Linked DNA regions of Oryzias latipes. The protein of the gene in region 1 purifies or fractionates together with the protein of each later gene. This does not show direct contact. Links are inferred from orthologs where the notes say so. Each region holds a gene or a part of one and is shown in the gene's direction. Other genes may lie near its edges. The genes, in order: prpf4, tut1, mepce, sart3, ddx23, snu13 and cd2bp2.

Evidence for each region.
Region 2: the proteins of prpf4 (region 1) and tut1 purify together in Homo sapiens (co-immunoprecipitation; 3 studies listed by BioGRID and IntAct, counting the BioPlex papers as one, with this or other methods). This does not show direct contact. The link is inferred for Oryzias latipes from reciprocal best matches to the Homo sapiens genes PRPF4 and TUT1.
Region 3: the proteins of prpf4 (region 1) and mepce purify together in Homo sapiens (affinity purification with mass spectrometry; 4 studies listed by BioGRID and IntAct, with this or other methods). This does not show direct contact. The link is inferred for Oryzias latipes from reciprocal best matches to the Homo sapiens genes PRPF4 and MEPCE.
Region 4: the proteins of prpf4 (region 1) and sart3 purify together in Homo sapiens (affinity purification with mass spectrometry; 5 studies listed by BioGRID and IntAct, counting the BioPlex papers as one, with this or other methods). This does not show direct contact. The link is inferred for Oryzias latipes from reciprocal best matches to the Homo sapiens genes PRPF4 and SART3.
Region 5: the proteins of prpf4 (region 1) and ddx23 purify together in Homo sapiens (affinity purification with mass spectrometry; 4 studies listed by BioGRID and IntAct, counting the BioPlex papers as one, with this or other methods). This does not show direct contact. The link is inferred for Oryzias latipes from reciprocal best matches to the Homo sapiens genes PRPF4 and DDX23.
Region 6: the proteins of prpf4 (region 1) and snu13 purify together in Homo sapiens (affinity purification with mass spectrometry; 4 studies listed by BioGRID and IntAct, counting the BioPlex papers as one, with this or other methods). This does not show direct contact. The link is inferred for Oryzias latipes from reciprocal best matches to the Homo sapiens genes PRPF4 and SNU13.
Region 7: the proteins of prpf4 (region 1) and cd2bp2 purify together in Homo sapiens (affinity purification with mass spectrometry; 3 studies listed by BioGRID and IntAct, with this or other methods). This does not show direct contact. The link is inferred for Oryzias latipes from reciprocal best matches to the Homo sapiens genes PRPF4 and CD2BP2.

The regions. Positions count from the first base shown.
Region 1 is NC_019870.2:25,895-29,394, forward strand, and holds part of prpf4 (U4/U6 small nuclear ribonucleoprotein Prp4), read left to right. Parts: intron 1-590; coding exon 591-685; intron 686-765; coding exon 766-824; intron 825-1,661; coding exon 1,662-1,785; intron 1,786-1,894; coding exon 1,895-1,984; intron 1,985-2,052; coding exon 2,053-2,175; intron 2,176-2,640; coding exon 2,641-2,748; intron 2,749-3,112; coding exon 3,113-3,231; intron 3,232-3,310; coding exon 3,311-3,417; intron 3,418-3,496; coding exon 3,497-3,500. UniProt on the Homo sapiens protein: Plays a role in pre-mRNA splicing as component of the U4/U6-U5 tri-snRNP complex that is involved in spliceosome assembly, and as component of the precatalytic spliceosome (spliceosome B complex).
Region 2 is NC_019877.2:4,404,446-4,408,532, reverse strand, and holds the start of tut1 (speckle targeted PIP5K1A-regulated poly(A) polymerase), read left to right. Parts: upstream 1-1,287; 5' UTR 1,288-1,449; coding exon 1,450-1,525; intron 1,526-2,587; coding exon 2,588-2,778; intron 2,779-2,848; coding exon 2,849-3,055; intron 3,056-3,155; coding exon 3,156-3,270; intron 3,271-3,567; coding exon 3,568-3,695; intron 3,696-4,087. Other genes in the region: proliferation marker protein Ki-67, read left to right, coding at 1-787. UniProt on the Homo sapiens protein: Poly(A) polymerase that creates the 3'-poly(A) tail of specific pre-mRNAs. Localizes to nuclear speckles together with PIP5K1A and mediates polyadenylation of a select set of mRNAs, such as HMOX1.
Region 3 is NC_019872.2:14,592,797-14,596,841, reverse strand, and holds the start of mepce (7SK snRNA methylphosphate capping enzyme), read left to right. Parts: upstream 1-1,245; 5' UTR 1,246-1,720; intron 1,721-3,471; 5' UTR 3,472-3,518; coding exon 3,519-4,045. UniProt on the Homo sapiens protein: S-adenosyl-L-methionine-dependent methyltransferase that adds a methylphosphate cap at the 5'-end of 7SK snRNA (7SK RNA), leading to stabilize it.
Region 4 is NC_019867.2:12,885,934-12,889,923, reverse strand, and holds the start of sart3 (squamous cell carcinoma antigen recognized by T-cells 3), read left to right. Parts: upstream 1-1,190; 5' UTR 1,191-1,429; coding exon 1,430-1,630; intron 1,631-2,366; coding exon 2,367-2,493; intron 2,494-2,595; coding exon 2,596-2,700; intron 2,701-2,786; coding exon 2,787-2,971; intron 2,972-3,137; coding exon 3,138-3,243; intron 3,244-3,365; coding exon 3,366-3,490; intron 3,491-3,578; coding exon 3,579-3,734; intron 3,735-3,918; coding exon 3,919-3,990. Other genes in the region: iscu (iron-sulfur cluster assembly enzyme ISCU, mitochondrial), read right to left, coding at 260-338, 419-529, 606-719, 887-988. UniProt on the Homo sapiens protein: U6 snRNP-binding protein that functions as a recycling factor of the splicing machinery. Promotes the initial reassembly of U4 and U6 snRNPs following their ejection from the spliceosome during its maturation.
Region 5 is NC_019865.2:19,110,139-19,114,320, forward strand, and holds the end of ddx23 (probable ATP-dependent RNA helicase DDX23), read left to right. Parts: intron 1-575; coding exon 576-688; intron 689-777; coding exon 778-921; intron 922-1,022; coding exon 1,023-1,248; intron 1,249-1,341; coding exon 1,342-1,487; intron 1,488-1,607; coding exon 1,608-1,785; intron 1,786-1,879; coding exon 1,880-2,122; intron 2,123-2,199; coding exon 2,200-2,351; intron 2,352-2,431; coding exon 2,432-2,540; intron 2,541-2,933; coding exon 2,934-3,108; intron 3,109-3,182; coding exon 3,183-3,406; 3' UTR 3,407-3,682; downstream 3,683-4,182. UniProt on the Homo sapiens protein: Involved in pre-mRNA splicing and its phosphorylated form (by SRPK2) is required for spliceosomal B complex formation.
Region 6 is NC_019877.2:3,754,733-3,758,412, reverse strand, and holds snu13 (NHP2-like protein 1), read left to right. Parts: upstream 1-1,194; 5' UTR 1,195-1,392; coding exon 1,393-1,395; intron 1,396-1,542; coding exon 1,543-1,663; intron 1,664-2,760; coding exon 2,761-3,023; 3' UTR 3,024-3,180; downstream 3,181-3,680.
Region 7 is NC_019866.2:3,948,470-3,952,417, reverse strand, and holds the start of cd2bp2 (CD2 antigen cytoplasmic tail-binding protein 2), read left to right. Parts: upstream 1-1,148; 5' UTR 1,149-1,236; exon of another isoform or gene 1,237-1,498; 5' UTR 1,499-1,502; coding exon 1,503-1,577; intron 1,578-2,173; coding exon 2,174-2,303; intron 2,304-2,472; coding exon 2,473-2,630; intron 2,631-2,707; coding exon 2,708-3,296; intron 3,297-3,378; coding exon 3,379-3,464; intron 3,465-3,934; coding exon 3,935-3,948. UniProt on the Homo sapiens protein: Involved in pre-mRNA splicing as component of the U5 snRNP complex that is involved in spliceosome assembly.

The DNA.
Region 1 (3,500 bases):
TATAGATTTTAGGTCCAATACTTTTTAATTTATAAATGTTTCTTCTTGGGGACGTCATCTTGAGATATGGTATTGACTTTCACAGCTACGCTTATGACACACAGCTTTACATCGCTGTGTCTGCTTAAACCTATAAACATTCTTTTAACTGTTTCTTAGATATAAAGCCGTGGATGGCAGAAAACTTCCTACAGCTCAACCAGAACAAAAAATAAATTTTAATCAGGGGTTCTAAAGACAAGAGACTAATTTACCACATCTTTAAACCTTAGTGTGTGAGAAACCTGGGCGTACTTTTTGACTGAGCTGAGTTTTATCCCACACATTAAAAGTGTCGTTAAGACAGGATTTTACCGTCTCAAAAACATTGCCAGAATCCGCTTCGAGCTGTGCAAGAATAAGAAGCACATTTTAGAAATAAAGTGTGATTTGATTTGAAAGAAGAAAGGCTGCTCTGACTAACTTTTTACTGTCTGGGTGATGTTACGGATTACTTTTTTGAAGTAAGATGCAGCACTGCTCTACCTTCAACATGGACTCTTTGGATCCGGTATCTGTTCTGTCAAAGACACTTCAATGTTTTTCTTCAGAATCTGAACAACTTCTGCAGTCAGATTGGTGATGATCGGCCAATCAGCTTCTGCCACTTCAGCCCCGACTCCAAGATGTTGGCCACCGCGTCCTGGTAATGAACCCTACAGACTTGTTCTGAACGTCTGACCTGCTGCTCATTATGAAACTAACTCTGACCTGCTGACCCCACAGGAGTGGGCTGTGTAAGCTGTGGTCAGTCCCTGACTGCAACCTCATTCGTACACTTCGAGGTGGGTGGAGCTTCAACTTTTTTTTGATTTGATTTGAAATGGTTTATTTCAAGCAATCAAATAGAAATAATACACAACAACAATACAATCATCAGTTATACATTCATACAATAAGTAATCAAACTTGGGATAATTAGACATATTAATAAATATTGCTTGAAAGGGAGTGGAAGGAAGCGAACCTATATAATCCCACCCCTGTTCTTCCTTAACCATTTTATAACATGATTTATCAATATCCGGTTCATAACTTTTGTCAGACAGAATTTAAAAAAAAACAAATATCAATAAAGCACATGACAAAGATGAATTACTTAATTATTTTGTAAAAAATAACTTTTAGAAATCAACATGGCAATTAAGTATCCAAAATATATGCAGATTATCTTACCTATAAAAGTCATTGATATGATTAAAAAATAATACTATATCAGTAAAATGGACATAACACTGTTTCAGGAATTTACATAGCAAAATTTTGATCAAGTATCAAGTTAAAAATATGTCCAAAATTATGTTACATTAGGAAAAATCATGAATCAACTTATCAGTTTTTTGGAGCAAGTGAAGTAGTATCATTAAAAGTTAATCAATTTAACCATTTTCAATAATTGATTAATCATTTGTTTTATTATTTTTTATTTATTTTCTATAATAAAGTAATAACTTTCAGGCTGCTCTATGTGCACAGAAGCACAATTAACCTTTAACCTTTGTGAGAATTGTTGACGTCTAGGTTAAAAACTATAAATGTTTTTTATTTGATTTTCAGTGAAGGAGTCATTGCACCAATAAATCAATTGAACTTTTAACGCCCTGTTTTCCAATTGGTTAAAGGACACAACACCAATGTCGGTGCCATCGTCTTCCGCCCGCAGTCTGGAGTCTCTCTGGACCAATCAGATGTCAATTTGGCCTCATGTGCTGCTGATGGAACAGTCAAACTGTGGAACATGGAGAGGTGGTTTTTAGGAGATGATTGTGTCATGAAGAAGGGACGGAGGAGTTAAAGGCTTGCAAAACGTCTCAAATAAAACCGTCAACGTATTTTCTTTGTGTGGTTGCGGTAGTGATGAACCTGTGGCAGACATTGAGGGTCACAGCGATAGAGTGTCTCGAGTGGCCTGGCATCCATCTGGAAGATTTTTGGGAACAACCTGGTAGGTCACAGCAGTGAGTACTCTGCAGCTGTTTGCAGTACTCTGTTTTGATAGTGTTCTGTACACAGCTACGATAACTCGTGGCGTCTGTGGGACCTAGAGGTTCAGGAGGAGATCCTCCATCAGGAGGGTCACAGCAAAGGAGTCCACGACCTGAGCTTCCACCCTGATGGCTCGTTGGTAGCTACTGGGTGAGTTTGTGCACTTCGTAGTATACCAAAATAGTCCGATACTCCCAGCCAAGTTTATTGTTTACCATCAAAATACCAGAAACAGAATAATGCACACAAATACACACATTTAGAATCAGACTCAAAATCAGAATTACTTTATTGATCCCACTGTGACGGGGTTTTTATCAGCAGCGAAACATGAAATGTGAATGATTTGTCCCACAAAACTATAAACTGTTACTGGGCTGGGAGAAAAGAGAAAAAAAAGGCTACAGTAAATGAAAGCATTGTAAACATAAGATAAAAGATTAAAAAAAAGAATAATATAAAACAATGAAAAACAACATGAATGTAAACAATAATGTGGTATAATTAAAAAAGCTATTTACAGACATTGCAGGTAAAAAGATGTGCAACAAATGGGAGTCACATAAATCCCGTAATCCCTTTCATGTGTTTTCTTTCTCTTTGGTGTTCATTCAGAGGGTTGGATTCTTTTGGAAGGGTCTGGGACCTGAGGACAGGACGCTGTGTTGTCTTCCTTGAGGGACACCTGAAGGAGATCTACAGTCTGCACTTCTCTCCTAACGGGTCAGCCAGTTCAATTCAATTTTATTTCTATAGCCCAATATTTACAACAAGTCGTCTCAATTGGCTTCATATCGGTAATTGTGTAATGAATCATAAAGTGATAGAATTCAATAGCTGATTGCTAAACTAAACTAAACAGACTCAACTAAACTGGGTATCCCTGCCCGTAGACCCTCCTTCTCTGTAAAAAACTCAGCCAGCTGCATTTCAGATCCAGACAGAGAGCTGTTGACTGAAACTGTCAATATAGGATGAAAGAAGAAATGGTCCAATCGATGAAATGATCCTATAATTTATATCTACAGATAAAAAACATCATTAACCAGCCAACAGCATTGTTTCATGGTGTGTTTTCCTCTGTTAGGCATCATCTGGCAACAGGAAGTGGTGACAATACCTGTAAGGTTTGGGAACTGCGCAACAGGAAGTGTCTGTACACAGTCCCAGCCCACCAGAACCTGCTGTCCACTGTCCGCTTCCAACGTAACAAAATTTAGTCTTCCTGTCTCTTTTAAAAGGACACTACTTCTTGTGTAGCTTCAGTTTGTGTTTTTGTTTGCAGCCACAGACGGTCACTTTCTGTTGACTGGAGCTTATGACAACACAGCAAAGGTTTGGAGTCACCCCGGCTGGACACCGTTGAAGACCTTGGCAGGACATGAGGGGAAGGTATAAGCATTGATTGTGTCTATGCATTTAGACCTGATTGCTCCTGATATTACGATAGTGACACTGTTGATTTCATCAGGTGA
Region 2 (4,087 bases), on another chromosome or scaffold:
ACCTGCAAAACCAAGGAGAGGAGGACGAAAAGCAAAACAAGACGCTGAAAGTGTGGCTGCTGCACCTTCTACTGAAGTACAAGAGCCTCTCCGTGTCTCCACAGACAAACCTGTGAGAGGAAGAAGAGGGAAACGGGTCCCAGAGGACGCCGTCACTGCTGAGAGCCTAGAGCTGGAGCCTGAACATCAGGAAACCACTGAAAAAGTCTGCAAATCCAGCAGAACAAAGAGAGAAAAGGCGGCCCAAAATGAGGTAGCAAAAGCCACCCCAGTTAAGAGAGCTCAGCGAGGAGCAGCTCCAGCAGGTGAGACAGCGGAACAACTCACTCTGTCTGTACCAGAACCGGCTCCAGGTGTCGCTGCCCCAAAAGCAAAGAGAGGAAGACGGGTGGCAGCAAAGCAATCACCTGAAGAGGTGAGCAGTGAGCAGACGAGCCCTGCTGAAGAAGAAGGCAAGCCTGTGGTGGAGGAATCAAAGAAGCCATCGCGGTTTGTCTCGTGGAAAGCAGATCTGGAGATCTGTGATATTCCAAAAGCACTTCCTGTAAAGGCTGCTCGTGGTAGGAAGTCAAAACTCAACGCTCACAATGAAAACAAAAATGTCTCTGATGCCGACGCGGCCAAAGGGGAGGAGCTCTCAGGGGACGCTGTCCAAACTGTGCCCGCCAAGAGAAGCAGGCGAGGAGTTCATGGCGGCGATGTGGCGGCGGCTTCCACAAGCAAGAGTGGTCTTAAAGAAAATGAACCTCAGCCAAAAACCCGACGAGGAAGAGCAGCTAAGAAATAACTGTCTTTGTTAGTGACAGTTATTATTCTCCCGTTTTTGTAATTGCAAAGTATTGTAGAATGTAGTTTTGGTGACTGAAAACAAAGCACTGCTTTATTTGCCCGTTCAGCAGGGACTTGTTTTTAATTCTTTTATCTTTTTTGTTTTTCTATCCTTTTTATGTCTGAGGGGAAAAAATATTTTACTGTTGAGCAGGGAGAGGGGTCTAATAAATTTTTGTACTTGATTGGAATTATTGGTGTGATTTCTTTATTGTTTTTATAGTTTGAAACTCCCCAAAAAGGGGTTAATATCAAGTGTATATTATATTATTTATTAGAAAAAGGCAAATCTTTTTATCTTCAATTTGGGAGATTTTTGACAGATAAAACAAATATTTTATGTGGTGTTAGAAAACATGAGATGTTTTCTATTTGTATTTATTATTTGTTGGAGAATTGAGAAAAACCTCAAGTTGATTTTCGCGTTTGCGGAACAGGAACGTTTACTGAAAAGATATACAAACCACCCGGACACATTTTGGAGACGGACCGAACGCAAGCCCAACGCTGGAGGGAGATTTAAGAGGCGCGTGCAAGCACGAAGGCGGTTCCAAACTATGTTAATGGTCCCAGGACCTGCATTTTAAAGTCCAGTTTTAGTTATTTTATTTAAGCATCATAATGTCGTCGGACGGCGATATAAAGACAACGCCGAGAGGCTTTCAGTGTGTTCTGTGCAACGTCAACCTACCTAATAGTGAGTTAACGAAGCTAAAGTGGGTTTTTTTCGTGGTGCCTAGTAGCTAGTAACACACGACAATTTTCTTTTTAAATAGTTACCCGAACAGTTGCTCAACCTGTGGAAAATTGTATGTATTTTTCACAAATTGAACGCTAATCATTTTGAAAATGCAATTTAAGTAACCTTAATAAAGTTCTTTTTCATATTTTATGGAGTTTACCTCGGCTACAGCATCAAGTCCCACATATTTTGGGGGGGGGGGGGGGGGTCGTATTTTAGTGCTGCACCGTAGTTTTATGCTCATGGTGGGCAAAACTTTCCTTCACCAACCTGCAACTGTTCATCCTCATTCATGGTGTTTGGCGTGGTTGAGATCAGAACTGCATGCATTTCTTACCCAGCAAATAATACTTTGATGGATGCTACTTTTCATACTCAGATAGGGAACGGAAATCATGAAGCCCTTAGTTAGAGTTCGTTTCACTGGAGCTAAGGGATCATGCACAGGTCCTAAAGTCAGCCCCACACCATGATAAGCCCTCCACCAAACATTGAACTGGATTCAATGTGATCAGCAGACAAAGTTCTCCTTGCAACCTCCAAACCAGAAACCGGGGAATCAAACTGGAATTAGCTGAAAGCAGCTCAGTCTTTCATACATTTTTGTATGAAACTCGCCTATGTTGATGATTTAAAACCCTCTGTTTATGAAAGTGGTTGGAAAAACCAAATTCAGTCATTTGGATGGGTGGTTAAGTCCTTTTGGCAATATAGTTTTTATTCTAAAAAAAAAAAATCAATAGAGCAATGGAAGAAACACCAGTATCAGTTGAAAACTACAGATACAAACAAGACAATGTTTAAAATCGAGCAGGAAGTAAATAATTGGTTTTTGACTCTTCCTGTTGAGTCTGCCTTTATATAAATAAGTGACGCAAACAAGAAGACGTCCAATCAAAAAGTCGGTTAACTTACAATGGGTTGAAGGTGAACCACAACGAGGGATGTGTGTGTGCACGCTAAACGTGTGATAACCTTTTGTTTCACCTAAAAGCATGGCGTCTGTCTGACCTGCAGTGTCCAGTGTGGATCAGCACGTAAAGGGGCGGAAGCACCAGACTCTGAGTTCTGTTCGAACCACCAGGAAAACCCACGAGGAGCGCAGCGTGTTTGTCAGCGGCATCAAGCCTGAAGTCTCTCAGTCTGACCTAACCGAGCACTTCCAGCAGTTCGGGCCGATCGCTGATGTCATCATGGATAAAGAAAAGGTCGAGGCGAACCACGGTTTGAATGGTCAGGGAGACTGTGAGAGTAATTTCTGTCTTACTGGCTTTGCAGGGAGTGTTTGCCATAGTGCAGTTTGCTGAGACTGAGAGCGCACACGCTGCTCTGACCTGTGTGGAGCATCTGATGAAAGGCCTGAAGCTCAGAGTTAAACCTCGAGAGAGGAAGGAGTTCAAGTTGATTCCAAAGAAGAGGAACGATGCTCAGAGCCTGGAACAAATGTTTGAGCGTCTCAAACCCGAGCTGTGTCAGCTGCCGTCCGTGAGAACCCGACACTTTACGACACTGGAAACACACCAAAGCAAACCTGACAAACATCTGCTTTTGAGGGTCAAACTGAAAGCTGCTTGTTCCCCGGCAGGTGGACGCTCAGATGCAGTACGTGGTGGAGCGGCTGCAGCTGGGAGAGAATGAAAAGAAGGCTCGCGAGTTGCTGGTTCAACTCCTGCAGGAAATCTTTGTTGAATTTTTCCCAGGTATTTCAAATCAAGTCAAACTTTATTTATAAAAAGCAGTTCTCTTGTGTTGTTCGGCTTTAGAATTAAAAACAAAAACATTACACATACGCCCCATGACCCCACACACAGGGAATAGGAATTAAACTGATGGTCTGACTCTGCTGGGAGGAAACAGGATATCGGGAATCTATTCGTACCAGGAGCCAGCTCAGCCATAGTAACATTGCCACAGTGCCCACCTACACCGGGACGGCAGCACGGGTCATTTAGTTTTTATGACATGAAGTACAGCAATTGTTCTACTTTTCTTTGCAGACAGTGAGATTTTGCCGTTTGGCTCTTCTGTCAACACTTTCGGAATCCACTCCTGTGATTTAGACCTTTTCCTGGACCTGGAGAACACAAAGACGTTCCAGGCCCGGGCCAAGTCCACCACAGAACAGGTTCGTCTGGGTTTGGTCCCGAAAGCCCTTCCGAGTGGATACGGGCGAAAGATGGCCAATTCTGTGCGGGGCGAGTTGAGAGAAAATGTTTGTGAAAGATCACAACACATTAACTCACAACACAACACATTAACTCACAACACAACGCAAGTGCATGCTCCTTGCACTAAGTGCATGCTCCTTGCACTAAGTGCATGCTCCTTGCACTAAGTGCATGCTCCTTGCGTGCACCCAGACTGTTAGAAATTAGGAAAATCCACCATCATCCACCGGGCGTCCTGCAGGCACATCACCTGCACGTGCTGCAATTGCGTGCTGTCAGTTAGGTTATGACTAGAGTGTTGCACAACTGCGTGCAACTTGCATGATTCTTACAAATACTTCACGTTACA
Region 3 (4,045 bases), on another chromosome or scaffold:
CTGTAAGACAGAAAATCACATGGCTTGATCTATAAACAGTTGAGAGTGATGATTTTCAATCAAAATACAGGGAGAGCTTTGTGTAGCAAATGCAAAAAAAAGGGTTTGGAAGAAAAAAAAACAAGTTATTCAAAGCAAATATTTAATGTTTTCATTTGCTACTTAGAAAGTTGTGCTTGTGTTAGCATGAATATCACTTCATGCGTGGTAAAATGAAAAATTAATTGTGGTCATTTAATTTAGAAATAGCTGTTACATCAGCTAAATGTCAAATTTGAGACACTTTTTAAAAATGTGTTAAAATGTCTTTTGGCTTCAAACTAAGCATTTCAGGCTGCTAACTGTAATGAATTTGCTTGAAAGTGTTGAAATTTGCTGCCGTAAAAGAAAGCTGTTATAAATCAAGAAATAGCCCTTTACAAAAAGAAAACAAATGTAATATAAAATGATGAGAAAGTTCATAACTCCTAAATTCACTTTATTTTCCCAAGTTAGATAGTTACAAATATTACAGGAAACTATTGTACTTTCACAGCTTTGTATCAGACAGCATCTCACAACTGTTTGGCCAATTTCTTATAAGCAGCGATCATGCATTAATGTAAAAGGTTACATCAATCTGAAATTCTGCTAAGAATCTTCCTTTCAAGAAAATCCAAAGTAAAGTTGTGAGCAGGTTACTGAGGAGGCCACTTGTGGATCTGTTCCATGACTTAGAATTAAGCAAAGGTTATTCATTTGACTGCTGCTGCAAAAGATTAAACAAATCTAAACACACACTGTTGAGGTGTTTGACAGTCAGTATTATTTTATACTCTCGTTCAATTACAGATCTGAAATTAAATCTATTACTATTAGAAATTTTGCTTTTTCCAAACTTTTAAGCACTTTATCACATTATTTCACTTAAAGGACGGACAGACAGACAGACAGAAGATAATTAATGGTATTGCTATAATTTTTTTCTCTTGACAATAAGATTTATTTTATGCTTTAAAAAGTGCTACTAATATACTGAAGATGAGAGATTACTGTTAAAATGATGGATGAAGGATGAGGTGGTGGGAGGGTGGTCAGGGCCGCAGAATTGCTCAATGTGGACCTACTTTGTGTTGTTGGGCATCTGTGCCTTTATAGTCCCGTTTTTAGACCAAAACAATGGCCAAGTTTGTTCATTAAAATGTGTTTGCTGACTGTCATTAAAAGTTCCACTCGCTCGCGGCCTCTTCTGGGATTAGGGGTCTGAATCTAATGGCAAAGAGTTCCCACTACCTTGCGCGAGCTCACAGATCTCCGCCCCGGTCACGTTAAGCTTACAACTCGAAGCCCGGATGCGCCGCCATGCCGACTCTCGTCAGCGAATGCTGTCATTTATTCACCAAACTGTCCGCCTGGAGTTGACCGAACAAGTCGACAAGGCAGTGGGGGAAACAAGAGAGACCTAGTGGGGTACAGGCCGTGCTTTGCGTGTAAACCGTGAGCGCCGTTGGGCTCGGAGACACTGGGGTGCTAGCTAGGCTAACGTTAGCTTGAGTGGAAGCAGAGCGGGGTGGAGACGGCCCGGCCGGAGGCGGGGAGAGCACCACCGCGGGGTGACACTGGGATCCTGACGGTGACCACACTGTTCGGCGGCCATCTGGGACATAGTATCACTTTCCCGTACCGGACTTGGGATTTGTTTGTTTATTTTTGTTCTGGATTCACCCGTCAGCGCATGAAGGTGGGTACTTGGTCGTTTATTTATCACCACTGTTGCTCCAGAGCTAAACGTTTAGGCGACGTTTTCAGAGCTCTGGCCCACGATGGAGGAGCTAAGGGCTAGCATGCTAACCCAAACTACTGTTCCAGACTCTGACTCAGAAACTTCTCAGGTCAGCAACCTCCGAGTGGACACGCTTCAGATGTCAGCCTGTCAGGAGGGCAATGCTAACGAAAAATCTGCCGCGGACCGTAGGACCTTTAAAATTAATATAATAAAATGCAACACTCAGCTAAAAACAAAGTAATTTATTTACTATTAAGAAAATTATATGTTTTATATATTCAATATGCCCGGATTCTCCTTTATGATTTTATTTGCTGTTCGTTTTGTCCATCTTATTACTTTCCTGACTTAATTATGGAGGCCAGAATCTGCACACTGACTCCCCAGATGACTTTTAATGCATGCAACCATAAAGAACAGATTGAAGTTTCCTTAAAACAATGTCGATGAATCTCAAATCAATTCTTTTTTTTTTTATCAATCATAGATAATGCAGTTTGCATGATTTTAAAATAAGGCTAAAACCGAAAACACTGAAAATCCAAATATTTTGTTTGGATTTTTTTGCAAATGACATCATCATGACAATATCCTACAGTTTTATAAAACCACTTTCTGAGAACTTCAAACTTTAGTTTTGGTAACATCCAAATCTATTTTTTTAATGTAAAGCTGATAATGAATTATGAAGTTGCAGAAATGTTTATCCAGGAAGTTGTAGATATACAAATATAGGATTGTCATCTTTTTTTTTTTTTTTTTTAAAAGTTAACTCTTCAATTGAAAACAACAACAAAAGCATTAACCTTTCTTTTAGGCTCTAAACAGTAGGAATAGTGGAAGAACAAACATGTTTCTTCTACACAGGCACAAAAACAATAGCAACAACAATAGCAACGTCACATCTTAAAGGTGTATTTTTGGTTTTGGAGAATATGATGACCTTCTGTCCCTTCTCTGTTAGTTTAAGTTTGAATGTAGTTTTGTTAGGAAGTGCATGAGGAATATTTGTGCCTTCTAATCAGGTGGCACAAATGCTATAAACCTTATGTATCTCTGATAAGGTAGAGCAGCAGAGACGGGTGGAACCTCCCTCTATATGCTACCATGAACCAAGCAGGAACAGTGTGGTTAAAAAAGAAAGATGTTTTGTCTGTACTAGCATTTTTGACCAAAGCATGTTGCAGATGACATCCCAAATTATGATTTTACTTATTTAAAGTCTATTTTAAAAAGTGTTCTCAGTGGTCTTTTAATTAAAATTTTGTCGTTTTTAGTCCAAAAAAAAACAACCTATATCATTATCTAGGATGAATAAATTTGTTGCTTGTCGTTGTAGGTTTCACATCACAGCTTCAAGCTTTTTCCAATGGCATTTTTCATCTGCCCCTGATTTGGAACAACTGGAATAAAGGAACACTCAGAAACAAAATTTTTAGCTATATTGTCTTTATACTTGTCCTCCATTGTTAGAAAAACGCCACAAAAACTTTCATCAGATTAGGTATTTAAAGTTTTTGTTGGCAAAAACATCAATTATCATTGTCTTTTTTTTTTGCATTCTTTGTAATGCAATTAAACAAAAATCTACCTATCGGTTGTTTTGGCACTTTTTTGGAACTTAATTTAATGTTTACGGTGTTTTATTCAAGGGATTATAAGAGATCAGATGGTCCTTTAACAGCTGTATTCTTCCTTGTTTTCAGACAAAGGACAAACAAGTTTCAATGAACAGTTCTGGAAACTAACAGAGATGTCTGTCGAGGAGGACGCCATAAAAACTGGCAGTTTAGAGGCCAGGTCAACGCCATCTCTGCAGCTCTCAGACTGTACTGGAGGTTACAGCAGTGTGTCCGTGATGATGGAGGAAAATGCAGCCACGCATGACTTTGCAGCTGCCTGTCCTGTCCCGGGCACTGCAGCCTCACCAAAGCACACGAGCACAGACAGCGCGGGACAAAAAGCCAGAGGGAGCGAGAACAGCATCAATCGCAGGAACAGCTTCCCTCACTCCAAACAACAGCAACAGCAAACGAAATTAACCAAGCGGCGCTACACAGCCAGTTCTAACTTCAAACATCCCACATCGAGCAAGAGGAGACGAAGAGCCATCTCCGAGAGTGACTCTGTCCTGCCCACCAACTTTCTCTTGGGTGGCAACATTTTTGACCCGCTTAATCTGAACAGCCTCCTGGATGAGGAGGTCAACAGGGCACTTAACGCAGAGACACCAAAATCCTCTCCACTTCCTGCAAAGAGTCGAGATCCAGTGGAGATCCT
Region 4 (3,990 bases), on another chromosome or scaffold:
TTGCTGAAATGGGGTTAAATATGAAATTAATTTAGTGGATTTGGAGAACTCAGGAAGTTGTACTTTTTTCTCCTCCTTTGTGTTGTCCAAAAACAAGTGTCCACACAAAAAAATAATTTTAATACAAATAAATCCTAAAACAGGCAATCAGTTGTGTCACACTTTGTGTAATGTGATTTCAATGCAGCAATTGTGTGTATTCTACCATTAAATGTATCATCTACAAGGCAGGCAGCTCGAATAGGAAAATCAAACTTACTGGAACAATGAAGCTTGACTGGAGGGAGGCACAGTTCTTTGGCAATGTCTGAATTTTTAATCTTCATAGCTTCATCCAGCTACAGGATTTTAAAAAGTATGTTATTATGATCCTTAGATAAAACAAACAAACTTTTCGGAGCCTTTTTTCGTAACTCACCGACTTCCCCTTCACCCACTCTGTTGCTAGGGAGCTGGAGGCTATAGCCGACCCACAGCCGAATGTTTTAAACTTTGCATCCACTATTTTTCCATTTTCATCAACTTGAATCTAGGATCAATATTAAAGTAAATTAATAATGTATAAAAATCTGAAATATAACGTGTTTGGCCAAATTCAAGCTTACCTGGAGTTTCATTACGTCACCACAGGCTGGTGCACCTACCAAACCTGTCCCCACACTTTTGGAGTTTTTGTCCAAAGATCCCACGTTTCTCGGGTTTTCATAATGGTCAACCACCTTCGAAAAAAATTAAAAATATATATAATACGGGGTAGGTTACAGAGACACAAATAGCATGTCGCATGCATTAGCTTGTTCAGTTCAGCCACACCAACTACCGTTTTCGCAAAACTGGCAACTTTGTTTAAAATAAAAGCCGTGTATTTGTGCATTCAATGTTTTACCTTTTTGTGGTATGAGCAAAGTGACTTTAACTCCGGTCTAAATAGCCTGCTGCAAAACAAGGAAGGCAAGGACGCACAGTTTCGTACACTGATCATCGCCATGTTCACATTGCCGATTGTGAACGATGAATGCCGAGTGAACACGAGAGGTGCCGAACGCTGTTTGCTGATAAACATGGTGGACTTCGTGTTAACATGTCGAAAAAGCTCCATCTAGCGGTTGAAGTGGTAATTGCCAAACTTGCTTCTTTTTTTATGTGGCTCAGTGTTTTATTGAACCAGTCACCGTCAGTGTCACTGGCATGGAGACACACTTTTGTCCCGCTCATATTTTTGTAGTTATCCCCGTTCCAATTGCTCCCAATGACCGCAACTGTAAATTGTTTCTTAAGTTAGTTTGTCCACTCACGCACTCCGTAATCCTAATATTTTGAGGCACGAGCATAGCGTGAACGCGCACGTCTTTCACCGTTGGGACGGGGCGGGTTTTCAATAAGAATTGGCTGCTCAGGCTGCTGTTGCCAGGCAGACAGTATTTCCAACATGGCAGCGCCAGCTAACGCAGAACAAACGCAGTTGCAAGATATGGAGGAGGACGGAGCAAAGGTGGAAGAGAGGGAGATGGATTCAGACGAAGAGGAGGACGAAGAGGGCATGCGTGTCGAAAACTCAGACGAAGAAGAGGACGATTCTTCGGAAGACGAAAAAGAAAATGAAGCCGAAATCCAGCGGTTGGAAGAACAGGTATTGACATCATCAAGCAGTCATGCTTTAGCCGAGGTGCTAATATCAATGAATGAATCGCAAAGCCTATACCAAGAAGCAGTTATAAAACGACTCACTCATCAGCATAGTTAACTCTTCTTGACAAATAAATAAATATCATTTTTGTTAGCGAATCACACATGAAACGTTTACGATGTTTATATGGCAATCCTGCTCATTCCTGCTAACTGGTTAAGCTAGCAGTTATCGCGCCTTTTTATCCTTTCGGGATATTGTCATCATTACTCTTCTTGACTTTTAAAGAACAAACTGAGGGGTAGCCTGCACTGTATTCTGTACATTTGTCCTGTTTAGTATATAGTGAAAATAATGTTTATATTGTGCTAAGGAAAGGGTTAAATGATTCCTTTATCTGTACCCACTTAAGATTGCTTACTTAGACTGCACAGTTTGTAGTGTTTACTTTGTCTTTAGCTGTGTCCAAGACGGTCTTTGGGTTTATAACCTTTGACCTTTTGCTTATAATAAGGAGAACTTGGCTCATGTGTTTTTTTTTCTTTTAATACACAATAAAGAGGAATTAATTGGTAAACATTTGACAGCAAAGTTTTGACCGCTTGCTATTGGAGTCTTGCTTTATTTTTTTCTCTTTACAGTACTATGCAATAATAAGGTTACATAGCTTATAGAAGCTGCCTTATATTTTGATAATGTATTGCTACCAAATAATATTTTTTTCTGTGCTCATCCTCAGCTGTCTATCAACGCCTTCGACTACAACTGCCACGTGGATCTCATCAAACTGCTGAAACAAGAGGGAGAACTTATCCGTCTGCGAAAAGCAAGACAGAAGATGAGCGAACTTTTCCCTCTTACTGAAGGTTAGGTTATGTCTAACGCAGTTCCAGCACAGACAGAATACTAGCACTGCATTGTTTGTGACAGATATGTAAACGCCTCCTTTTTTGTTTCAAATTCTGCAGAAATCTGGCTGGACTGGCTCAAAGATGAGATTCGTCTGACAGAAGAAGAGTCAAACAGAGAAAAAGTCTATGAGTTGTTTGAAAGAGCCATCAAAGACTACATCTGTCAGTGCACCATGTTATTGTCATTTCCTTTAATCCAATGTTCAGTTATTAGATTGCCTTAATGTCTTTTGTTTTTTTTAACACAGGTCCAGAAATTTGGCTTGAATATGCCCAGTACTCAATTGGGGGTATGGGCTCACCAGGTGGGATAGACAAGGTGAGATCCATCTTTGAGAGGGCAGTGACAGCTGTGGGGCTTCACATGACAAAAGGACAGTCAGTGTGGGAGGCATACAGAGAGTTTGAGAACGCCATTCTGTCCACATTGCAGGTTTGTGTTTACTTTTTTTTTTGTCTCTTCAGACTCAAAATCTGGGTTTAAATTTCAAAGATGCTTTACTTAAAGATAAAAAAGTCTGCATCTTTAAACAAACAACTATAGTGTTTGACAGATTGGGCCAAATTTCATCTTTTTTTGTTTTGTAATCTTCTGTCAGCCTCCCCCTGGCAAAGTTCCCAGGAATGAGGAACAGGAGCTGATAAAAACCCAGCTTGAAAGAATTCACACACTGTTTCGCCGTCAGCTGGCCATCCCCTTAATGGGTAAGCAGCCAGATAAAATTCAAAATCTGAATCAGTGTTGCTATTTAAGTGTACCTTTTTTAGATGTCACCAGATTAAAATAGTTCTAATCTGTAAACCTTTGGACTTGTGTGCTTTTGTAGACATGGAAGCTACTTATGCAGAGTATGAAGAGTGGTCTGAGCATGGAGTGCCTGAGGCCGTCGCGCATCAGTACAAAAAAGCGTTGCAGCAGATGGAGAAGTGCAAACCCCTTGAAGAGGCTCTGGTAGCTGACCTGCACACATTTGGTTTTGAATCTGTCTTGAGCGACTTTTTTCTAGTTGTTAACATCTTCTTGCATCCGTCTGCTGCAGCTGGTGGCCGAACCTCCTAAACTGGCTGAATATCAGGCCTACATTGACTTTGAATTGAAGGTGGGGGACCCAGCACGGATCCAGATTACCTTTGAAAGAGCTCTGGCAGAGAACTGCTTGGTTCCAGACATGTGGTCTAAATGCACCAAGTATCTTGTGAGTATTGATTATTGTTCAGTCTATAAAGAATGAAATTTTTGCTATGTATTTGTTTTAGTTCAGCTGCCTGTTTCTGTTTATTTAGCATTTTAGTAAATTGGCCAATTAAGAAAGAAAAATGAAAACATAATTAAAAAAAAAGTGTTGCTTAGATTTTTGTCTTTTATTTTTGATCTTTTAGGATCGCCAGCTGAAGGTTAAAGACTTGGTTCTGTCCACTCATGAGCGGGCTGTTAGGAACTGCCCCTGGACC
Region 5 (4,182 bases), on another chromosome or scaffold:
AATAGAGCTGTGACGGTGTGGGATTTTTCATCACTGCGGTGATGAAGCAGCAGGAATTGAGGTGTTGCGGTTTGCCCCTCACACACACACACACACACACACACACACACACAAAATCCCCAGGTGTCGCAAATGAATACCGGTACATGTAATAATTACATCACACGATTCTTTATTAACAAATAACAGTAACTACTAACTAATGAACTAACTATATAGGTGTTGTAGAATGAGTATGTGTGTGTGTCAGCGCGTTGCGTGTGTAAGAGGAAGGAGCGTGAGCAGAGCACGAGTGAGTGAGAGAGCGCTCCCTCTGGCGCTGCACGAATTCTCCCCTTTTTCTTACACACACACGTGGTTTCAGCACATACACATCCTCATTCTGCAGCACGTTTCAATATGGGCACATGCAGGTGCGGCTTATGTATGTACAAAATAGTTTAACCTTTAAAAATGTAATGTGTGCGGCTTATAATCAGGTATGCTCTATAGTTCGGAAATCACGGTACATTCAGCCTTTCTTGTCCAGTCGTTACATTTTTATAGAACTGTTAAAATGATTGACTCTTCTATAGGAACGTTACCTGGGCGGCATCAAAAAACGGCGGAGAACTCGCCACCTCAATGACAGGAAGTTTGTGTTTGAGTGGGACGCTTCAGAAGACACATCCGTGGACTACAATCCCATGTGAGTCTGCAAACCCCCTCCTGTCTCATTCGTTTAGTTTTTAATTTCCATGGCTGTAAAAAAAAATATATATATTTTTTTCCTTTTAGATATAAAGAGAAGCATCAGGTGCAGCTGTATGGGCGTGGCTTCATAGCCGGCATCGACTTGAAGCAGCAGAAACGAGACCAGTCTCGTTTCTATGGCGACCTGATGGAAAAGAGAAGAACTCTGGAGGAGAAGGAGCAGGAAGAGTGAGATAACCATGACACCGTCTGTACTTAAAAAAACTAACCCGAAGAAAAAGAAAGTTACTTGGTGAATAATTAAAATCCTTGATTTTCCTCTCCCTCAGGACAAGGTTGAAGAAGGTGCGCAAGAAGGAGGCCAAGCAGCGCTGGGATGACAGGCACTGGTCTCAGAAGAAGCTGGACGAGATGACGGACAGAGACTGGCGTATCTTCAGAGAGGATTACAGCATCACCACCAAGGGAGGAAAGATCCCCAACCCCATCAGGAACTGGAAGGAGTATGCGCTGCCCGCACACATCCTGGAGGTCATCGACAAATGCGGCTACAAGGTGGGATTATGAGGGCGCCGTCTGTCCTGCCCGAAACCACGGCCTTTGGGGAAAATGTTGATTAAAATCGTGTCCAATTTTTTTATTTTTTAGGAACCAACTCCAATTCAGAGGCAGGCCATTCCTATTGGCTTACAAAACCGTGACATCATCGGTGTGGCTGAGACCGGTAGCGGTAAAACGGCTGCCTTCCTCATTCCACTGCTGGTCTGGATCACCACTCTGCCCAAAATTGACAGGTAAACCTTGAGAAGTGGAACGAACTCGTAAATGTCAACATTTTTGCCCTCTTTTGCCCCTGATTTTCGGTTTTGTCATCTGCCTCTGTCTGTTCTGCCCCTCTGCTCTCCGCATGGCAGGATCGAAGACTCCGATCAAGGTCCTTACGCTGTGATCTTGGCTCCAACTCGTGAGCTGGCCCAGCAGATTGAAGAGGAGACCATCAAGTTTGGAAAACCTCTCGGTATTCGGACGGTGGCGGTGATTGGAGGAATCTCTCGAGAGGACCAAGGATTCAAACTCCGGATGGGCTGTGAGGTATTTGGAAGAGGATTGATTGGAGAAACCGTTGACAGCTAGAATTAAAAGCGAAGCATCGATGTGGTGAAAATTGTCCGTCTTTGCTGAACAGATTGTGATTGCCACTCCCGGCCGTCTGATCGATGTTTTGGAGAACCGCTACCTGGTCCTGGGCCGCTGCACCTACGTGGTTCTGGATGAGGCAGATCGCATGATTGACATGGGCTTTGAGCCCGATGTCCAAAAGATTCTGGAGTACATCCCAGTGACCAATCAGAAACCAGACACTGACGAAGCAGAAGACCCTGAGAAAATGACCATGAACTTTGAATCTGGGAAGCATAAATACAGACAGGTATGCCCGTGTCTCCGCTGTGCTCTGCTCCAGCTGGCATCTTCAGCTCAATCAGCTGTCTTTGTTGATCCCTGCAGACCGTCATGTTCACTGCTACCATGCCTCCTGCTGTGGAGAGGCTGGCCAGGAGCTACCTGAGGCGGGCTGCTGTGGTGTACATCGGTTCTGCTGGAAAACCTCACGAGAGGGTGGAGCAGAAGGTCATGCTGATGTCAGAGGGAGAGAAGAGGTGAGAGCTGGCGCCGACTGTAGAAACGAACATCCTCTTCTCATGGGGTTGCTGAGCGTGTTTGTGTCCCGTCCGTGCAGGAAGAAGATGCTGGAGGTTTTGGCCAGTGGCTTCGAGCCTCCCATCATCATCTTCGTCAACCAGAAGAAGGGTTGCGATGTGTTGGCCAAGTCCCTGGAGAAGATGGGGGTACGTTACCGCACTCAGACCAGCATCAGTTACTGGGTTGATTCTTGGTTTTGTCCTATATATTTTCCCAGAAATTTGCATAAAACCAGTGTGCAGCAATGGTCACTGGCAAGTATTGACCACAATGCATTGTGTTTGAATGTTTTTTTTTTGGGTGTGTTTTATTTTTAATAAACCATCCAAATTTTAATCAGCAACAAGGCAGATTTGAAAATAGTTTTTGTAAAATCTTGTTTATTAGGATTTTTTTTGGGAAAACTGTGACATCGTTCATAAAAATCCTAGTTTTAAAGCCTTGTGCTTTTGTAACTTTGGTGTTTATCATCTTCAGTTATTCGACTTAGGTTATTCTTGGTATTGTTTTTGGGCTGATGACCATCTTTATCTTTTTAGTACAATGCTTGCACGCTGCACGGTGGCAAAGGTCAGGAGCAGAGAGAGTTTGCGCTCTCCAACCTTAAGGCTGGAGCCAAAGATATCTTGGTGGCCACAGATGTTGCTGGTCGTGGTATCGACATTCACGACGTGTCCATGGTCATCAACTACGACATGGCGAAGAACATTGAAGGTAAATGTTTTTTCCCTTGGCTGTTTTATCATTGTTTTTTCAAGAATAACTCACCGTTCTCCTGCCTTTTATAGATTACATCCATCGTATTGGTCGTACCGGTCGTGCTGGTAAGAGCGGCGTGGCCATGACTTTCCTCACCAAAGAGGACTCTGCTGTCTTCTATGACTTGAAGCAGGCCATCCTGGAGAGTCCCGTCTCCAACTGCCCGCCGGAGCTGGCCAACCACCCAGACGCTCAGCACAAACCTGGAACCATCCTGACCAAGAAAAGGCGCGAGGAGACCATCTTTGCTTGATTATTATCTTTTTATGTCAAATGTTATTATAAAAAATAAAAGAAGGAGAAAAAAAAGCCCACTTCAGACCTCTGGGTCATGTCATCCCGGTTTGCATTCAGGATTTTGTGATCAGGTTAGTTATTTACCAGTTTTTTTTCCCCACCTTATTTTTTGTCTCATCAGTGAGCAGGACTCTGATCTACATTGTATACATGTGAAAAATAGCAGTTAGATGTTATGAAAATGAAAATTGACATTTTTTTTTTTTTTTTTAAATAAATGTCTTTCTCCAGACACATGTCTGAATGAATGTTTAAGAAACCTGAGTAGCAGCCCTGGACTAAAGACCCTTGAGCTAATTTATATAAAAACATTTGTATTAGTGATGGCTGCTTCTTTAAACCACAGCTACTTAAAAGAACATCAATGATGTATATGGATACAGAAATAATGGGATTTTTACTTCCTAATGGAAACTTGTTTAAATGTTGGTGGAAAAACACCAAAGTTATAATAAAAAATGTAACAAACTTTCATAGGGCCTTTAAGATGTCAGCACCTAAAACTAAAATGAATCACTGCTAATGAGTCACCTGATCCATACTTTCTTTTCTCACCAAATGAAAAACTAGCATTCATGACTAATGCAATTTAAATGGTAGCATCTACTGAACATTGACTTCAGCTGTTTGCATATTTATTATTAAATTAAGGAATAATTTCAACCATCCTATAAAGATTTTTGTTTGACAGTTAACAAATGTTAGCATGCATAACATGCTGTGCACATAAAG
Region 6 (3,680 bases), on another chromosome or scaffold:
TTTACGGGACATTTTGCTCGTGTAAATAGGTTTATTTTCTTAACAAAAATATCTAATTTTGCGATAATTGAACAATTTCACAATTTCATCACGAAACACATCACACAACAATGAAAGGATGTTTCCATTCAGGAGAAGAAGTATTTAAAATTCAAATTCAACTTTATTTATGGAGCATTTTTCTTGTTACAAACACTTCAGAGTGATTTACATTAAATAAATAAATTGTAAACAAGAATAATAGCCCACACACATATTCAAACATGTAAAAACTACTTAAGAGCAAAGTGGAAAAGATGAGTTTTGAGGGTTTTTTCCTAAAAAAAAAAAACTCCACTGTCTGCTTGTGGTTAAGATGTGTGCCGTTTAAAATCAATTGTATTTTTTCTTAGCACCAGAAAGAAGAGCGTTATAATAATAATGATGCTGGTATATGAAAAGTGCTTTAGTATTAAAGTTTTACTCTGTTATTTGAAAAATAAAATAAAAAGAAGTAACTTATTTTTTTCAGAGCAAACACAACATTATCTGGATTCTACATAAATTGTGCTCTCAATTTTTAATTTATTTAACATAGGGATATCATCTGCAAGCCGAGGTGGCTCTTATAATCTTTCATTGTGGCTCTTTGGTTTTGAAGAAAAAATGCTAATGATAATACTAACATAAATAATGGATTTGTGGTTTTGGTTCATTTCTTTTAGTTGACAGTTGTGTTTTATAATTTTTTAAATTTAGAAAACTGAGCAAAATGATGCACATAAAGCAACAGTCCTTATTTCTGTTGATCAACAATGACTAGATGCTATTCAGAAGCAAAATTAAAGTATAGAATTGCAAACAGATGTTCAGGTTAAAAAAAAGTGGATTTTGCCCCAATGTTGTCATGTTTATATTCAATAGTAAAATGAGAAAACGAATTATGGGTGCATCTGTCTAGCAGTTTTAACTCTATTTGTAAACTCGGAATCTGTTTATCTGCTACAACCGATCTGTGTAGGGGGTATTTTATTTTGAAAGGAACTGCAGCTGCTGTCACAAGTAAAATAAGTTGAAATTCTTGTAAACTAGAAAACTATCACTTTCATTTAACTCATCATCATATTTTAATTATTGTAAATATTTAAAAGCTAAAACTGGTTAAATAACAGTTCAATGGTTAAAAGTATGACCTCAAGAGGGCGAACCATTTTTCTTTTACTGATGTGCATATTGCGCATGTGCAGACCTACACACGTGGGGTAAACGTTTGCACGAGCTGCAGCCTTTGGAAGGTTTTGAGACGCAATTTACCACTTTTGGCGTTCGCTATACTTATTTCGATCCCGTTAAAGGAATTAGTCCTCCGTGAAGCATTTCGCCGAGAGGGCCGGAATATCAAAGAAAATCAAAATGGTGAGTGTAGTTTGTCTTGAGCTAGCAAGCTAACGAAAGCCGCTAGCTATTAGCATCTGATAACAGCACGCGGGGTGCTGTAATCTGGCTATTCTAAATTTAAAGTAATTATTGTGTTTCATTATTATTATTATTTTTTGTCAACAGTCAGAACCTGAGGTTAACCCAAAGGCTTACCCGCTGGCCGACGCCACGTTGACCAAAACTATTTTGGATTTGGTGCAGCAAGCCTCCAACTACAAGCAGCTGAGGAAGGGGGCCAACGAAGGTAAGGGAATTAAAGGAGAAATATTTAGCTGATCGGTGTAATATTCTTGGGATTTATCGCAGTCTTTATCTGTATTAACGACAAAATTCGTGAAACATCATGATGAAACGAAATAAAATAAAGCGCTTAGTAGGCTTGATTCTCTCACTTCCGGTAAAAATCACCCAATATTTAAAGCCTATGATTAATGTACCTAAACCAGAAAGAGTAGATAGCGTGAAAGAGTTGAAGAAGAATCTGGTGTTTCAGCAGACATTTTTCACCAGAGCAAAAATCCTGAGGAGGCTTCTTACCTGTGAAAGCAACTTTTATTTTGGCAGGTTGACCCTCTTCACTCTAACCTCCAATGTGTTTCTAAAAAAAACCCATAAAGTCTGCTGTAAATTCAAAACAGCCCTCTAAGCTGGAGAATGCAGGGCTGCATCTCTGCTAAAACACTGATTCTAAAGTAAAATGAGTTAAATGACATTTTTTATAGCAAATTTCCATTTCTGTTTAGCTTTAAACTCCTTTTATTCATAACTGCTGTTCACAGCTGAAAACAAGTATAAAATATTTAATAAACTATTCAATAAAAAAACTGTTTTTGCACAAATATTTTTCAATAAGTCAAATGTTTAAGTGGAAATTAATCCATAGATGAATTGTTGTCACTTTTTTCCAATTGAAACAGAATTTCATTCGTATTTCTTTAATTCTTTCTACAAAATCGATCAGTAGGAGATATTAAGGTTGCATAACTGTGTTAAACAGGACTTTCTGGTTTAAAAAAAGCTTCAAATAAATGCATTTTATTCATAAACAGTCAATTTAAAGCTGAGGTAATAAAAAAAATGAACAAGCCAAATATTTGTAGGATCTAGATGAATCCAAGCGATTCTAGATGCTGTCCAGATATTTGAAAAACGCCATTTTGTCTTCGTTTTGCTTCATAGTTAAGCATCCTGATATAAAAAAAAATGTTTGTATGTCATCTTATATTCTGACACTTTATATCATCAAACCTTCCAAGGGTTTGGAGTAATATTATTATTGTTAATATTGTTTACATTTTCCTGTGTTCTGACAGCGAGGCGACTCTGCTCTCTCCTCCACAGCGACCAAAACCCTGAACAGAGGCATCGCGGAGTTCATTGTGATGGCTGCTGACGCTGAGCCGCTGGAGATCATCCTCCACCTGCCGCTGCTCTGCGAGGACAAGAACGTCCCGTACGTGTTTGTGCGCTCCAAGCAGGCGCTGGGCCGGGCCTGCGGCGTGTCGCGTCCCGTCATCGCCACCTCCGTCACTATAAAGGAAGGATCCCAGCTCAAGCCGCAGATCCAGTCGGTCCAAATGGCAATCGAGAGACTGCTGGTGTGATCTCTGTGCTCATTTTCTGTTCTCATTTGAGTTTATTTACTTTAACAAAATACTTTTAGGTGTTTATTTTTTATTTTTTTGGTGATCATAGCAGCTTTGCTTCTATCAGTGTCCAAAACCAACATCATTTCCTAATAAACATTTTTTATTAATGTAATTCCTGTGTTTTATTTTTTTTCCCTTTAAGAAGTGTTTACTTTATGCAGAAGTAGTGGAGACCAAGGAGACTTTAAATGGAAGACAGAAAAACATCATAGAAATTAAACATTTTTTTCCAAGCATCTCATCCAGTTAGAAATGTAATTTAAAACAAGTGTCTGAAACTGAAGGACTCTAGAAGATACGTCTCTACAATGTACAAAGTTAAATGTTTACCAAATAAATGAGTATTAAAGAATTAATTCAAAGTGTAATCCAGTAGTGCTTTGCAATACATTGTTTTCATTTTAAAAACAGAATTTTGGGTCTAAACAATTTTTTTCTTACAATTTATTTAAAAAACATTTAGAACGTTTTACCTTTATCTCATTTCTGAAATTGTCAGAAATAAGGTTATTTTTTTACATAAACTTTGTTCAGTGAACAGAATTTCATCTTTCAACACAGTAAAACTAAAGATGCGATTAATAAAATTACTAAAATTAAAATAATTTTAAA
Region 7 (3,948 bases), on another chromosome or scaffold:
ATTATTCAGATCGACACATTATGTTTTAATTTTTGTTGTTGTTAAATATGAAGGCGGTTGTTTGCTGTCAGGTTGATTCGACCAGCCCAGACAATGTTTTCATATTTAGCATTAAGTTACTAAAGCTGGTTCCCTCATGGGCACCGAAGGACGAGCGTTTAAATATAAATAACTCAACCCACTTCCTGGTAATAATACCCTGACACGTTATATTCTCTGTTGAGTCTGCCCGGAGCTCCTGGGAACTGAGCAGTCGCGACCTGCTTCACTGTCAAGAAGTGAGATTCTAGTGGCTGTGGTGGAGTTGACTGCCTTGGCTCCATCATTTCTCCTTTTATTTCTTTTATGATGTGATTTCCTTATGATTGCTTTTAAGGCGACTGACTCTGCTGTGGGCAGATGGAAAATAACTGAAAAGATTCAGTTCCCTGTCAAAAACAGCACCACTTTTATTGATCTAGGTTTTTTTTCCACTTTTTTTAAAGCTATAATTAGATCAGCTTCTGATTCTATATTTATAGAATAATTTCAACTCCTGGTAAGGATTTGTGTTTGTTGCCATGGAAAATAACAAAATCTTTTTTTAAATTGAGCAGCTTTCCTAATAAGGTTCCTATTGTGCATAAATCCCGTGCATTTTCCTTATGTGCTTTTAAAAACTAATACAATAAAAGATTAAAAATGCAAACGATTGAAAATGCAGATCTAATAATAATTATTTTGTTTGTGTGCTATCACAAATAAAAAAAGAGCTATTTTAAAAAATGATAAAATAAAAAGACTTAGTTATAAATTCAATAGCATTAATGGCTTTTAGGGAGAAGCATTAAATCTACAAAAATGAAACATAGCTCTATTCAAAGTGTAGTTTTCAAAATGACGTCTGAAAGAGCAAAACTGAAATCGAATATTGTTTCTCTGAATTCTCATTTCTAGATTTATTAACAGTTTTACAGAAAATTATTCCTGCTTTAACTATTCACAACTGCAGTTTTTCAAAAAGGGTGTGGTAAATAAAGACAGTTTGCTAAAAAAAACGGATAACAAAAGATGAATGAATCCTAAACAAAATGTAATTTTTGAGCCAGCCTCAACGCTTTTATCTTTGAAAATAACAGCTGTTACCCTCCACACCACATGGTGGCGGTGTTGCGTCATTCCGCCATTGTTGAATAACAATAAAATCTAGATTTCCGTCAAACAAGAAGCGAAAGCGAACGTTGACAATTTATGCAGGTTTTTTACCACGCTCTCCCTATCTGTTCTATTGTGTCATTTATACTTATTATTTGTTTATACATTATGTTGACCAACATAATGTTGAATGCCTTTCGTATATCGAGTCGCAGTTGGTGGCGAGGCGTTTACTTGTTCTGCATGCTCTCCGTGTTGTTGTTTGCTAACACTTAGCTGCAAAGCTAATAACGTGCGTGTTATTACAGTCACTTGTGGGTGTGTAGTTGCGTGGATAAAAGTGGTGCTCTGTTGTCTTCTCCAGCACCATGTCGAAGAGAAAAGTGACATTTCAGGACGGGAACGAAGAGTTTGAACTGGAAGACGACGGGCTCACGAAGAAGGTAAAGCCGGAGGATCTGTCAGGGTTTTGCTAAAAAAGTTTAGCCTTTGATTTCCTGAATTTTGATCTGGATAAACTATATAAGTAATCATTTGTTACGTATTGGTACTAATTAAGTGCCGCGTGTTTTATTTTAGTTTTGTGCTGCGTCATTCATTTCTGTGTTTTCCTCATGATGAGCTGTTGGCCTTTATTTGATGCACTATTTTCATTCCACTATTCTATTGAAATATTAGTACAGTTATTTTAAAGATGTTTACTTTATTTTGATATATTCTAAAACGGCATTTGCATAACTAATAAGTTATAACTTTTATTAGTCATTTGAAATCTTTTCCAGTAACTTATGAACTGAGATTATTTTTAGCTTAAGTGGACACTTTGTTTAATTCAAAATATGGCAGACCTGTGTAATTTTTTTATTATCTGAGAAATGATAGAATGTAAAAGAATAAAAACACCTATTTTTAGGTGAAGCATGACCTTGTTTTACTGTTTAGGTTATGCTTTTTTTGGGGGCATCGATCACAAAATAAATACATTTGTTTCGCTTTTGTTTCTAAGTGCCATCCCTATGACTTTGTTTTGTTGAAACAGAGCTGTGAGGCAGTGAGTGGACCAGGTTCCAGGTTCAAGGGCAAACATTCACTAGACAGTGATGAAGAGGACGAAGGAGGAGAATCAAAACACAGCAAATACAACATTCTAGCCAGCGATGATGTGGAGGGTAAGCCTTGTTTTTTGTTTGTTTTGAAAAATAATATAAGTGAGGGTGCTTTAATTTTAAACCAAGATGTTTAATATCTGTTTACCTGCACAAAGTAGTCCTTTATGCTAATAGTGCTTTCGTAAACTTTCCCTGGAAGCTGTTTTAATGTCAGAAAATGTGTTTTCAGGTCAAGAAGGAGCAACTATCGACTATGATGAGGGAGTATCTATTACACCTTTTAACCTAGAAGAGGAGATGGAGGAAGGTCACTTCGATTCAGAGGGAAACTATTTCATCAAAAAGGAGAAAGAGATTAAAGACAACTGGCTAGACAACATAGACTGGGTAACTAGTTTTAGGAACACATACATGGCGTATTTTCAGTCAAGAGAGAATGAATGAAACATCTTCCTTTATTACAGGTAAAAATAAGAGAGCAGCCTTTCAAAAAGAAGAAGAAAGGTCTGGGAGCCAAGCGGGTGCGCAGAGCTGGTGATGAGGATGAGGCTGAGGAGGAAAAGCGGAGGGAGGAAAAGCAAGTAGACAAGGGTGATCAGGAAGAGGAAGAGGAGGAGGAGGAGGAGGAGACACCTGTAGAGGACCCCCTGGCATCCTACACGCAGCATCAGCTCACTGAAGCTGTTGTTGAGTTATTGGAACCCGGAGAAACGGTTGCTACGGCGCTCCGTCGGTTAGGAGGCCTTGGGGGGAAGAAGGGGAAGCTGAGGAAAGAGAACGAACCCACAAAGGAGAACAAAAGAGATGCCGAGAAGCTGGATAAGCTCACAGCTCTCGCTGACAGACTGGTTGGATCAGGGATGTTTGAAATCTATCAGCACACTTATGAGAAACTAGGATTTTTGATGAAGAGGATGACGAGCAAGCAGCCAGCAGACAGGCAGAGAACCAGGTGTAGTGACGATGAGGATGAACTCGACATGTTTGGCGACAAATTTGATGAGAAAGTTGAGGAAAAATCAGAAGACAAAGAGGATGAGGAAGACAAAAGAGGTAATTTGGCGAAACATTTGAAGATTTTCGGTTGTCGTCACATGCAATGTAACTTATTTGATCGATCTTTCTGAACTTTTAGTGACGGATGAAGTGATGTGGGAGTACAAATGGGACAACAAGGAAAACACAGAGGTCTACGGCCCCTTCACCAGCCAGCAGATGCAGGTTATTCCCCTCAAATTTGTACATGAAGAATTATTCTTATGGGATTTGTGCAAAATTAAACTGTTAATCTCCCTTTTGTGTTTTAATATAAACAATTAGAAAGTGGTGTCTTTGTCTATATCTGTCAGCTAATAGTTCATTTGACGCCTAATGTACAAGAATTGTGTAATTATTGTTACTCCTATACATTGTTTTGAATAAAATCAGGATACAGAATATGTTTAAATGATATTTAAGTGAAGTCATAATTGACATTATTACAAAAAATGATAAAATCTGTGCAGCTTTAATGCAGCATTTTATGTCTACCTTTTAAAGTTTATTTATTTTTTAAGTGAATTTTAACTGCTCTCTTTCTGTAAAGATAGCAGTAAATCCCACCGTGTTTGCCAGATTATTGACTTGTAAAGTAGCTCTGACCCTCAGTTGGACCTGGTGGGGTTTTAATCTTCTTATTGTTCGTTTTCCAGGGCTGGGTGGACGA